Linked DNA regions of Oryctolagus cuniculus. The protein of the gene in region 1 interacts with the protein of each later gene in a pairwise test. Links are inferred from orthologs where the notes say so. Each region holds a gene or a part of one and is shown on either strand. Other genes may lie near its edges.

Region 1 (3,600 bases):
ACCTTCCCTGAAATTCATGACTTTGTGTAACTTGAGTTGATCATGAACCTGAGTTCCTGAGACCCTGTGGGTCTCTGCATCTGCAACACCCTGCATCTGGCTGCCAGCTGGGAGATCTATGCCATGCCACTCCATACTCTGGTCTCCTGAATAGGTTACTTAACTGTTTATACCTCAGTCTTTCTCTGCAAAATGAAGATAACAACAATATATGTCTGGAGTCTTGTTAAGAGAATTAAATAAGTTAATGACTGTAAATTGCTGAGCAGAGTGTTTGATGCACACTGTGTGTTTGGGCAAAAGAGCTGATGTTAGACCTGCTTCCTGCTAGGCACTCCTGTCTTCCTTCTTTCCCCCAGACCAGCAGGTTGCACACTCCCTCAGCCAGTGCCATTTCCACAGCTCTCTGCTGCCCCCTGCTGATGAAGGATTGATACTATTGGTGTAACTTGCTTCTTTGCTTAGGTAGCTTTGTTTTTGTTTTTGTTTTTGTTTTTGATAAGCACCCTGTTCTAAAACAGGTGGAATTATGCACCATTCCTTTAAGATCTCACATCTCTGTGCCTTGGCCAGTGCTACTTCTTCCATCCCAAATGCCTCCCTCCTTCCACATACACCTGTCAAGGCTATGGCCACCTCAAATGCTCTAGCATGCATGTAGCATCTCTATGTTCCTCCCATGTACTGCACGTTAATCACTCCTTCCCTCTGCCAAAAGCATGTTAGTCATTCCTCTCACATTCGTTTTGGGCTTGTTTTACTGCATCCTACCAGTAGATCAAAACTATGCCTTCTTTGATTCTGCTTCCCTGGCAACACCCGCCACACTATATATCCCCTCTCACAAAGCCATGATAAGCAAGCACCTGTGCAGTAAATGAATTCTCACTCTCACCACCCTGCCTGGGCTGCAATATCCCATATTACCTCCCACTTCGATTAGTGTGCTCAGCTCCTAACTGGCCTCCCAGCTCCACCTCCAATCCATTTGCTACATGCAAAGTGCACTTTTAAAGAAAAAAAAAATGGACCTCAGCATTTCCCAACCTCCCAACCACTCTACTGCCTCTCCTTGCTCTAGAGTAAAGTCTAAAGCATTGATTGTGGGCCAAATCCTGCAAGATACTCTTCGCTTGCTCTTTCATCAGCAGCCACATTAGTCTTCTAGTTCCTGCAACACTTGGTGCTGTCTCCTGCTTAGGGATTCTTCTGTGTAGGCCTGGGGCACATTCTCCCACCTCATTCTTCCCCGGAGCTCCCTTAAGTCTTAGCTCAAATATCACTTCCCAAGAAAATCTTCCCTGACCTCTCCCTAAGTCCAATTGCTTGTTCATCCTCCCATAGCAATATCTACATATCTTCTAACAAAAAACCTCAACATAGCTTTAAATTTGTGTTTTTAGTCATTTGCCTAGCACTTGCAATATCTGTAGGACCATATACTCCACAAGGAGAACAAGTGCGCCTGTCTTTTTTACCCTCATGTTTCCAGCCAACAGCATAATGCCATGCAGATAACAGATACACAATAAATATGCTGAAGAATAAAAATCAAAGCCACATTAAACAGATGTTCAGTCAAACCATCAAAAGGCATGTGTAAAGTACACTAAATCTAAAGCCTTATACTTCTTTATATTTATTCCATGTCTGCCTTTCATGTTTCAGATCCTTAATTTAGATAGATGGATTCATCAATGCCAATCAAATGATAGGCAAACAGCAGAAGTTTCTCTGAAACACACCAGCAAGGGGCTAGAATGATTCAATCCTTACCTTCGGTGCTCATATCTGGTGTTGGCATCCAGATGTAGACCAAGCCCTCTTCCTTATACAGCTTAATCATGGTGTCTGGAGTCATGGGTTCTGAGTAGCGGTTACAGCCTGAGGAGTTCTGGACAATATCCCATTCAGTCTGGAAATTCATTATAGCTGTAACGCCCAATTCATGCTTCAGTTTGATGGTTACATGTTCCACTTGGCGAGGGCAGCTCCCCAGCCAGAGATTTGGTAGAATTCTAATGAGAACATATGGGGTTAACTATTATTATCATTCTAATTTGAGGTCTAAGGAGCTGCATAAAATATGTAGTGTTAAAATGCAATTAACCTTTAAATCTGGCTTAAGAAAAGCTGGATGTTTAAGAATATGAGAACTGATATTATTATTAAAAGAAAAAAGGGTACTGGTTTGCTGTTTTGGGGAAAATACATAATTCAATTAGCTAGAATGACAGGGGTATTAGCCAACCAAATCTAGCAATATGTTAAAATAAGTCCACCAAGTTGTGCTTCTTCCATGAATGCATTCATTACAAAGCCGATCGATATATTTCAGATACTAATAAATTATAGGTGAAAACTCCTATATTAATACATTCTGAAAAACATTGGCTAAATTCATCAGCCATTCCTATTTAAAATGCTATATAAAAATCACGAAGAGAATGAGGCATTTTAAATATGCTACAGACCAGAAAATCACAAACAATAAACTTCTTCTAAATAAAAATCAAAAATCAAGATTAAATTGGAATTGGAATCCCCTGGTATGCTTCCAACTCCACCACTTGGGGCAAGTCAGCCTGAGCATGTCCCAAATTATACATCTCTTCCCTCTCCCATTCCCACCACCATGTTCAACAGAGATCACATTTCAGTTAATTTTCAACACTTAAGAATAACTGTGCATCAATTTCAGATCTAAACCAGTCATATTAACAATTCAATCCCATCGAGGTGGCATGTACCAATGCCATCTCACTGTTCCAGGTGATCAGTTTCAGTTCACAGTTGGTCATGGTGAAGGGACTGGGAGTCAAAGGGAGCACATAGACAAGTCTAGTACCTGCTAACGCTAACTGATGGAGTAAATAAAGGGGAGAGTGATCCAACATGGGAAGTGAGAATCTCAGCAGACTCATAGAATGGCAGATGTCCTAAATAGCACTCTGGCCTCAGAATCAGCCCTAAAGGCATTCGGAGCTGGCTGAAAAGCTCATGAGAGTATTTCAGGCATGGAAAGCCAAGACACTCTGGCAAAAGATCTCTGCGAGTGAGATCCCAGTGGAAAGAACAGGCCATCAAAGAAGGAGGTACCTTTCTCTGAAGGGAGGAGAGAACCTCCACTTTGACTATGAGCTTGTCTAAACAAGATAAGAATCGGAGAACTCAGAGGGCTTCCATAGCCTTGGAAACTCATGACTGGAGCATAGGGAGATTACTGATGCCATAGACAGGAGTGTCAATTGGTAAAGTCAACAACAGGAGTCACTGTGCACTTACTCCTCATGTAGGATCCCTATCCTTAATGTGCTGTACATTGAGATTTAATGCTATAACGAGTACTCAAACAATATATTTCACTTTGTGTTTCTATGGGGGTGCAAACTGTTGAAATCCTTACTTAATGCATACTAAACTGATCCTCTGTAAAAAAAAAAAAAAAAAAAGAAAGAAAGAAATTATCAACTCCCAACTTGACTCTCACTGGGATTAAACATGACAATAGGTCTGCTCTGATTTCATCATCATTTTAAAAAATCATCTATTATTTTTCACTTTATGTTTCTGTGTGGGAGCAAACTGTTGAAATCCATA
Region 2 (4,270 bases), on another chromosome or scaffold:
TCATCAAAAATAAAATGGTTCAAAGACAAAATGCATCTCTCAAATAGTCACTGGACAAATGCCAATAAGCGGTCACAAATTTAGCTAACTCACTGGTGGCAGGTATCTTAAAGTGGATCCCACGGTTTCAGATATTTCAAATCAATTCCATACACTGGAGACACGGTCCAACACGGCTGTGTTTCCCCCCATGCCCCAGCTCCAGCCCTGCTGTCCCAGAGACCACTCAGCACCAGAACTCCCCAGCCTCGCAATGGGAGCTTCCGTGGCACTCTGCAGGGGACAGGAGGCTTGACTGGCTGGTTGGAAGTTGTTTTTTTTTTAAAAAGTATTTGATATTTTAAAATTTGAAACAAGCCCAGAAAAGGTTAGGCAGGAAGTCTCCTACCTGAAGGCACAAAGAATAAAGTTGGCAGGTAGCTGATAAGACCCGGCATATAAATACAATTTAAAACCACTGAGGAATATAAAATTTGTGAATTATTTTTCCTCCAGTGCTCTGGCCATCGCTGAAAACAACCTTCTAGTCCCATTTGCTAACTGGACTTCCCAAAGATTAATGCCAGAACCTCCTGATGCTGAAGAAGAAATAAAAAGAACCAAGAAGGCAATTTCAAAGGGCACTGTTGCCTGAAAACAGTAGGTGACTACCTGAAAATCTAAATAACTTAAGGCAGTATTTCTTAGAATGTCTAGGTAGTTTCGAACCTAAACGGAATGGCCTGATGACGTGCAGATACACGATTCCTAAACACACAGGACAGAAACACATGACCTAAGAGTGGCCGCAGAAAGGGCTGTTGGGTGGTTCCAAAGTCCGCAGCCCCTTCCCCGGCCCAGCCGGCTGCCTCAGGCCCGGAGTGGTTACGTGACGCTGATGAGACACACATTCTTCGTGCCTATTAATAGATTCCCGCTTAGAAGGCTGCAGACACTGGCAAGCCGACAGGGTCTCGGGTTTTCCTTGTCCCTGGGCAGGGATGCCTGGAGCAACCAGGATGCAGGTCAGGGCGCACGGTTTGTTCACACTGGGCACGGACACATAACAGGACATCTGCATATTCCTGAGAAGGCATCCACTACGGAGAAAGGTCCCGACATCACGAAAATAAATAGCAGCCATGTTTACGGACACACATGCAGCAGGCCCTCCCGGCAGAATCCCGGCCCTTCAAAGGAAACCCTGCCTCTGGGCCCCAGGCTCCGGCACCCCAGCACCCCAGCTCGGACGCAGCCCAGCGCGGCCCTCCCGCCGCCTGGGGCTGCACCAGAGACCGGTGGAAGAGGGGCCTGGCAGCTCAGCGCGGCCCTCCCGCGGCCGGGGGCTGCACCAGAGACCAGGTGGAAGAGGGGCCTGGCAGCCCAGCGCGGCCCTCCCGCCGCCGGGGGCTCCACGCGAGACCAGTGGAAGAGGGGCCTGGCAGCCCAGCGCGGCCCTCCCGCCGCCGAGGGCTCCACGCGAGACCAGGTGGAAGAGGGGCCTGGCCGCTCTGGGGGCCGAGGCGCGCAGGCTCAGATGAAGTGGATCCAGCTCTCCTCGCACTCCCCGCGCGGCATGTGCAGTGCGTGGTTGCGACACGTGAGGCTGTAGTCCTGGCCGTCGTTGTTGTCCCAGTACTCGGCGCCGGCCACGCGGTAGCGCAGCGCGAACTGCACGAGCGAGCCGAGCTGCAGCAGGAAGGGCGGCACCGGGAAGCCGAAGGCGAAGACGTCCTCCGCGCCCTCGGCGCCCGCCGGCCCGCGCCACCGCGCCGCCGCCTCGTGCGCGCTGCGCCAGCCCGAGAAAGTGTAGCGCACGGCCACCTGCTTCTCGAAGGCCACGTTGCGCACGCGCACCGTGCCGCTGATGCCCAGGTCTGAGCAGGTGACGCGCTCCAGGCACACGAGCTGCCGCCGCAGGCGCTCGCCGAAGTCGGCCGCCTCGACGGGCGGCGGGAAGTCGGGCACCAGGCACCGCAGCGTGAACTCCAGGTCCTGGCTGCTGCAGCACAGGTCCGAGTTGATGGCGAGCCGCGACAGCACGTGCAGCGGCACCGACGGGTCGTCCCCGGCGTTGAACACCTTGACCTGCGCCAGCTCCAGCCCCAGCGCGTCGGCGAAGCGCACGCGGAGCTGCCGGCTGCAGCCGGGTCGACACGCCGCGCCGGGCGCGCCCGCGGCTTTCTGGCGGCGCTCCGGGGAGCTGGGCAAGGAGCGCGCCCGCCGCTGGATGATGGGCCGCAGCCGGGGGTCGCAGCCGGATGGCGCCGGCGCCAGCAGCGGCGCGTGGCCAGGGCTCCCCGGGGGCCGACAGGGCCGAGGCTCCGGGGCGGGGCCGTCCAGGTCCGAGAGGCAGCTGAGGCTTCGGGGGGCGGCCTTCCGGGACCCCGGCGCGGCGGGCAGGACCGCGGAGTGCAGGCCTCGGGACATGTCCTGGCGTGCAGGCGGCAGAGGGAAGAGAACCGAGGGGCGGCCTCGAGGGGCGGCGTCCACTCCCTGCGGGCCCCGCCGTGCCCAGAAGCGCTCCGGGTCCGCTGGATCAGCGACCTGGGGGGGACCCCGGGGTCTGCTCCGCCCTCCCTTCCTCCGCCACCTTGTTCCTGGAGCCGTCGCCCAGATCCTCCGCTTCTCGCAGGGACAAGAGCGGTGCCGCCAGCGGAGGCTCTCCGGGGTCCCGGGGGAGCGAGGGGGCGCGCCGCTGGGCTTCCCTGGGCCCCGCCCGGCCGCCGCCTCCCTCGCTCCGCAGCGACTTCCCGGCGCGCCTCCGCCCCGCCCCTCGTGACGCGGCCCGCGGGCCCCGCGCCGCCCGCGCCCGGGCCGGGCCGTGCCGCAGCGCGCCGCAGTCTGGCCTCCGCGCGGGCGCCGGAGGAAGGAAGCGCGCGGCCGCGTCACGTGTCCGCCGCGGTCGCGGCCCGGGGCCGATCGGTGTCCGTGTGCGTCGGCGGGGCAGTGCGCGCCCGGACCGCAGGTGGTGCGTGCGCCACGCGAGCTCCGGGCCCGGGGCTGACGGTGGGGGGAGGGCAGGCGCCTCGGCCGGCAGCTGGTTCCCGGGGTGGTTTGGGCGTCTGCGGACAGGTCCCTGGCGCCTGAACCGAGCAGCCACGCCCGCGGGAGGGCAGAGGCGTCCTGTCCGCTGCCAGGGGCTGGGCGGGGGCCGCCGCTCTGCGTGCCGGCAGCGGTGCGCAGAGGGAGGCGTGGAAACGGGGTCGATCGCCGGCGAGCAGCTCCGCGCCTGGGCCGGAATCTGGGGCTCTGAGCTCTGGGTGCGAGCCGGGAGCTCCAGGGGTGCGGGGAGTTCGCGTTCTGTATCCTGGGCCCCTGCGGGCGTCCGTGGCTCTCACCCAGGAAGCGTGCGTGCGCGCGGCGCAGACCCTGCGGCCTGGGCCAGGAAGTGAAAGCGAGCAGTGAGGGGCAGCAGGCCGAGCAGGACGCCCCTTTCACTGTCCAGGGAGAAAGCCAGATCCCTGGCGGGGGGCCGGGGAGATCCTTCCTGCCCCTGGAGCCTCAGGCCGCCCGCCCTGTGACTCATTTGGGAGGAATGATTTTACCACCCCCGCTGCAAGCTGATCCGAAAGCCTGACATGGCTAACGGTAGAGAAAACACAGGAGAGTTTCAGGAAGAATATTAAGATCTGCAGCCCCGCCTCTTTCCTGTTTTAGGCAGGCGGGGGTGCTACGGTGGACAGAAGTGTTCCGTTTTTAATAGGCCACTTGGAGTGAGAGAGGGCTGGCGTAGCCTGAGCCAGGGACGCCAAGTTTCAGGGCTGACGTCATAGACTATGCATGACTGTGTTGGTGGCCTATGGTAGATGAAGGGGTGAGGAGGGCTGGTAGAAAGGGGCCTCCCCCACCACGCCCCGCGCGGGGCCCTGATGTGCAAGCCTGGTGATTGTTTCTTGAGTGGCTGTGGGGCTGTGGAGCTGGGTTTCTCGCACACTATCTCCAAGGAGCGTGTATGTGGGTGCCTGGTCAGAGAGGAGGGGAGGCAGAGTATTCACAGCTCATAGGTGCAGTCTTGTCTCCAATAGCCCGGTGATACACAAGCAGAAGAGTAATATAAACTGTAATATGAAACAGCGTCCTTGCCCAGGAGCCCGCGATTTGGGGTGCTCACAGCCCCCGTGTTCCAGTGTGAGGCAAATGTCAAGAACCACCGTGAGTGGCTGGGCCACCTGCAGGCAGCACCTCACAGTGTCCCGTTGCTTCCAGCTGCGGTGCTGGGAACTCCTTTGCAAGCATAAGAGGAATAAAGACGTTCCCTCCGCAGCCGCCACCATCGCCGTCCTCCAGC
Region 3 (4,375 bases), on another chromosome or scaffold:
CTCCTCTTCAGAGAGCGCTGTTTCTCTCAATCTTCTGTTTGAAGGAGTTGAAACAGAGTGACTTTTGTGGCGTTAATCAACACCAGGGGGCAGGAGAGAAAGTGGAGTGAAAGGAAACAAGTACAAAAGGATGTTGTGAATAATGGCTGAGGTATGTGAGAGCTTCCAGCACAGTCCTTGTGCCTGGCAGGAGGGCTATACATGTTGAACTATACTTGTTGCACATTTTAAAATCATTTAAAAATTACTTCTTAGAGAAGTCATCCATGTTCACTGTAGGAATTTTTAAAAATACAGAGAAGCTAAACATCAAAGACATTTTTAGTTACTCATAAGTTCACCACCTCAATAAAAGTACGGATAACATTTTAGTGAAGCATATTTTATTTACTCTGCATGCACATCTCTCTCCCAAAATGAGATCACAAAAAATTCTTACAATTTTACATTTCCCCATAACATTAGCTGGTAACATTCACCTTTTAGCTCAAGATATGATTTTGGGCAGAGGAAAGGACTACCCAGGCTTCCAGTTTGGGCTCCGGCCTAACCAACCCCTGGCAAACAGCTTAGCGTCTCTAGGTTTTAGGTTCCTCCTCTGTGAAATAGGTTGATAACAACGTTACCACCCATGTGACCTATGGCACCTTCCCCCTGCACGGTTTTTCCGGCCAGGGTAATTAGTGGAAGAGATTCTGGTGCAGTGGGGCTCGCTCTGGCATCAGCCAGCTCCACCTGTGAGGTCCTGGGTAGGTCTCGTGCCTCCTCAGTGCCTCAGTCTTCTTTTCTCTAAAGTGGAGTGAGACACACTACCTGGGGTTGTTGTGAGACATCTGTAGACAGAGCAGGGTCTGGCCCACAGTCCAGAACCATTCTGCTGCCCCTGTCTCCCACCGGAGGAAACCGAGACCACGGTGACCAGATCCACGGAGCTAGGAAATGCCACACCCAAAGCCCGGGCCCTGTCAGCTGGTTTTGACTGAGCTAAAAGGCTCGAATCCCTGCCCCTCACTGGTTGTTACATTTAAAAAATGAAGCCCAAACCTGAAGCATCTTTCCCAATTTCTTCTTCCACATTTTAGTAACTCCACTTTAACCGTTCCACTGCTGACTGTTCTTTAAAAGACAGCGTGATCTTTTTTGTACATTTTGACTGCTGGATATTTAAGTAGAGCAGAACTTAGATACAAGTTTTATAAAGACAGTTTATACTTAGAAACTTAATTTCAAGGTTGGGACGAATGGTCAAAAACCGCCCCCAACCAGCACAAAATAAGGAAAGCCCAGAGAAAGGCACTGGTGCTGGGAGGGCCGTGAATGTTCGCGTGACATTTTAGCACTGCTAAAGGACGTCAGAACCCAGTCCAGGGAGTTGGGTTCACCACTGGCTTTGGCTGGCCATGTGAGTGAAAAAGGCCATTTCATTTCTGTCTATAGTTTTTTCTCCCAGGGAGAAAACTGAAGAATAGATCAACTTACAAATTGCCTTTTAATTAAATGCTGTCTTATCGTTTTATAGGATCTGCGTGTTGAGAGGGTGGTTCCTGGCACCCACTATGATGCATTCGTGGATTCACCCTAAGCGAAACACACACACACACACACACACTCAGCCAAACTTCTCCCCGCGGAGGCTAAGGTGCGCTAGCACACCAAGCAACGAACAATGCAAACGTTGAAGACGTCGGGAGCCAGCCACAACTTGCTGTGCTCAGATTCAGCCGTGCACACACCCGCAGACGGATTCCCGAGGCGCTGGCTGGTGAGCTGGGCGCCGCCTCCCGGCTCCTTGCATGACTTGCCTGCACACCCCCTCGCCCAGGGTTCGCGTTACGCCGCTCAGTCCAGCTGGCCTAGGAGTCCCCAAATCCCGGGGCTCCCAGCTGGCGCTGGGCACATTCAGCCCCGCAGCTATCGCGTCCTTGGGGAGAGGGCTCGAGCTGCAGCTGGGCGCTGGTTGGTCACGCCAGCGGGCCCGCGGCCCGGCGATTGGTCCAAGGGATCCGTTCACGTGGTTCCGAGCAGATAAGCTGTCTCTCTGGCGCCTGACCCGCAATCTGCGGGAGCGACCTGCGAGGGGGCACTGCTGGGAGCTGCAGGGCGAAAGTGCGCAGGCAGCGGGGTGCAGGCTTTCGCGGTCAGCCCCGCCTCTCTGCCTCATGAGCTGCACCAGGTATGTTGGCTGCGACTCTGCAACCCCCGAGTCAGGCGAAACGTGCAGATGCATGCAGACTGGAATGGGGTGGGGGCGTTTTCGTTCTGTCGTTTCTGCAGATAGAGACCCCAGAGGAGGGCAAGTTGACAGATTGCTAGATTGAATCCGGCACTCAGGGGGCCTGGGAGGTACGGAAATTTGCAGTGTGTGTCTTAAGCAGAACGTATGTTGGCAATCAGCATCCTTAACCAGAAACTGTTTAAACCTGAGTCAGCTATAGTTCCATCTGCCTCACTGATAAGACTTCTCTTTTGGTCCTGCAAGTCTGTTCCTCGGACGCGGGCAGCCGGGCTTGGGGGAACAGACCTCTCATCTTGTTGGTTAGATAGTTTAGTTTGGTGCAAAACTACTGGACGCTTTCACAATCTTATCACGGTTCGCCATAGCAAACTCGGTCTCAGAGTTGGAGCAAACTATTATTTTTAACTCTTGGCCAGGACTGAAAATTCCAAGGAAATAGCCCAGTACTAAAACTGTCTTTCCATAAATGCAAAAGACAACAAACAAACCCAGGCTCCCATAAACTACTTTTAATAGCTTGCCCAGACATAACTTAGCAGAAGCCTTCTCTAAAAATCTAGCCTGTTCATTATTATTAGACCCAGAGTGATAGCTTTAGCTTTCATTTGTTTAAGTCTGCAGGTCACCCAGAAAAATCCCAGCGCTGATAAAGTGAGTTCTGCGAGTGCTCCTTATTATTCATTTTGTGAGAATGAGCGCTTGCTTGGTGCTTGGAGTTGCTCTAATGAGCAATGAAGGCAGACTTGGAAATATTGTGCACAGGATACACATAGCTCTGAATCCATAAGGCTGAAATACGGGGGAACTCTCAATCCCATGCCCTTGGCCAAATGTAATGTGAACCAAAGACCAGAAAAGCCTTCTTGAAGGATTCTTCTTGGTTTATTGCTGAGCATAGTTATGTTAAAAATTTTTCATAGCTTTAATGTCTTTCCGCTTATAAATGTCCATCACCAAAACATTAGAAAATATCCAAAAAAGTACAAAGACAAAAATAATTGTGAAATCCTATCACCTAGAGATAATTACTAACTTTTTAGTTTGTTTTCTATAAAGTTTTAAAATATTTATAAGTTCAAATACAATATATAGTTTTTAAAAAGCCCAATTTTCAGGTCATTAGTTTTCCCACTTAAATGCGGACTTGCCGTGGGCATGTTTCCATAGGAAATACAGGTTATGCAAATTTTTTCTTTAAGTGCCTGAACTGCTGACTTGTTTCAGTCAGTTACTTCTGAAACATGAGGAATAACATGACAAAGTGCAAAGGTAACTTTCTGCCTTCCATTCTCCCTAGCCTTGTCACTCTCAAAACCACTGCATACAAATTTTATTAATGAATCTTTTTTCTTTCCAAGTGGCTTACCTTTCCAAAGCAGCATAAATCATTGAGCAGCAAAATAAGCAAAGGCAGCGGAGGGACTGGATCTGAGGCTTCCAAACCTCTCTCATTGTTAGACCCACCTGGAAGGCTTTCTGAGCATCCCTGCTTCCTTTGCTCCATCCACAGGGGTTCTAAGTATTCAAATTAAGAAGAAAGAAAACCAACCGATTCTCAAGGTCACAGTGACTAGCCAGGGTTGAGAACCATCTCAGAGCCCTGGTTCTTAAAGTTGTGTAGAGATCATTACGTTTCCAACACTTCTGTTTTGCAGAAGGAGAAACAGAGACCCCTCCCACCCCTAAAAAGTTAAGCAGTTAACCCGCAGCCCTGCAGTCAGCCGACAGTGAAGGTGGACATAGGATGCAGGTGGGCTCACCTAACACTGCCGCCTCCTGCTCCATAGAACAGCACCTGCCTGATCCTTACTACATGGCTGGAATTCAGTCTGCACAAAAATAGTACTTATGAAGTAAGGACCCAGTGCAGGTGATGACCCCTCTCCCTTTTACATTCCAGAATGATCCAGGTCTTAGATCCACGTCCTTTGACAAGCTCCGTCATGCCAGTGGATGTGGCCATGAGCCTTTGCTTGGCCCATTCGCCCCCTCTGAAGAGTTTTCTGGGTCCTTACAATGACTTTCAACGAAGACATTTTGTGAATAAACTGAAGCCTCTGAAACCGTGTCTCAACATAAAGCAGGAAGCCAAATCGCAGAACGGCTGGAAGCGCTCACACAACCAAGCCAAGAAGCGGG

The links.
Region 2: the proteins of EPM2A (region 1) and PPP1R3D interact in a two-hybrid assay, tested with the Homo sapiens proteins (2 studies listed by BioGRID, with this or other methods). The link is inferred for Oryctolagus cuniculus from reciprocal best matches to the Homo sapiens genes EPM2A and PPP1R3D.
Region 3: the proteins of EPM2A (region 1) and PPP1R3C interact in binary tests that used the Homo sapiens proteins (3 or more experiments, as listed by UniProt). The link is inferred for Oryctolagus cuniculus from reciprocal best matches to the Homo sapiens genes EPM2A and PPP1R3C.

What each region holds. Positions count from the first base shown.
Region 1 is NC_091436.1:22,737,504-22,741,103, reverse strand, and holds part of EPM2A (laforin), read right to left. Parts: intron 2,019-3,600; coding exon 1,777-2,018; intron 1-1,776. UniProt on the Homo sapiens protein: Plays an important role in preventing glycogen hyperphosphorylation and the formation of insoluble aggregates, via its activity as glycogen phosphatase, and by promoting the ubiquitination of proteins involved in glycogen metabolism via its interaction with the E3 ubiquitin ligase NHLRC1/malin.
Region 2 is NC_091442.1:2,547,106-2,551,375, reverse strand, and holds the start of PPP1R3D (protein phosphatase 1 regulatory subunit 3D), read right to left. Parts: upstream 2,841-4,270; 5' UTR 2,410-2,840; coding exon 1,513-2,409; 3' UTR 1-1,512. UniProt on the Homo sapiens protein: Seems to act as a glycogen-targeting subunit for PP1. PP1 is essential for cell division, and participates in the regulation of glycogen metabolism, muscle contractility and protein synthesis.
Region 3 is NC_091446.1:38,806,629-38,811,003, forward strand, and holds the start of PPP1R3C (protein phosphatase 1 regulatory subunit 3C), read left to right. Parts: upstream 1-1,519; 5' UTR 1,520-1,793; coding exon 1,794-2,173; intron 2,174-4,136; coding exon 4,137-4,375.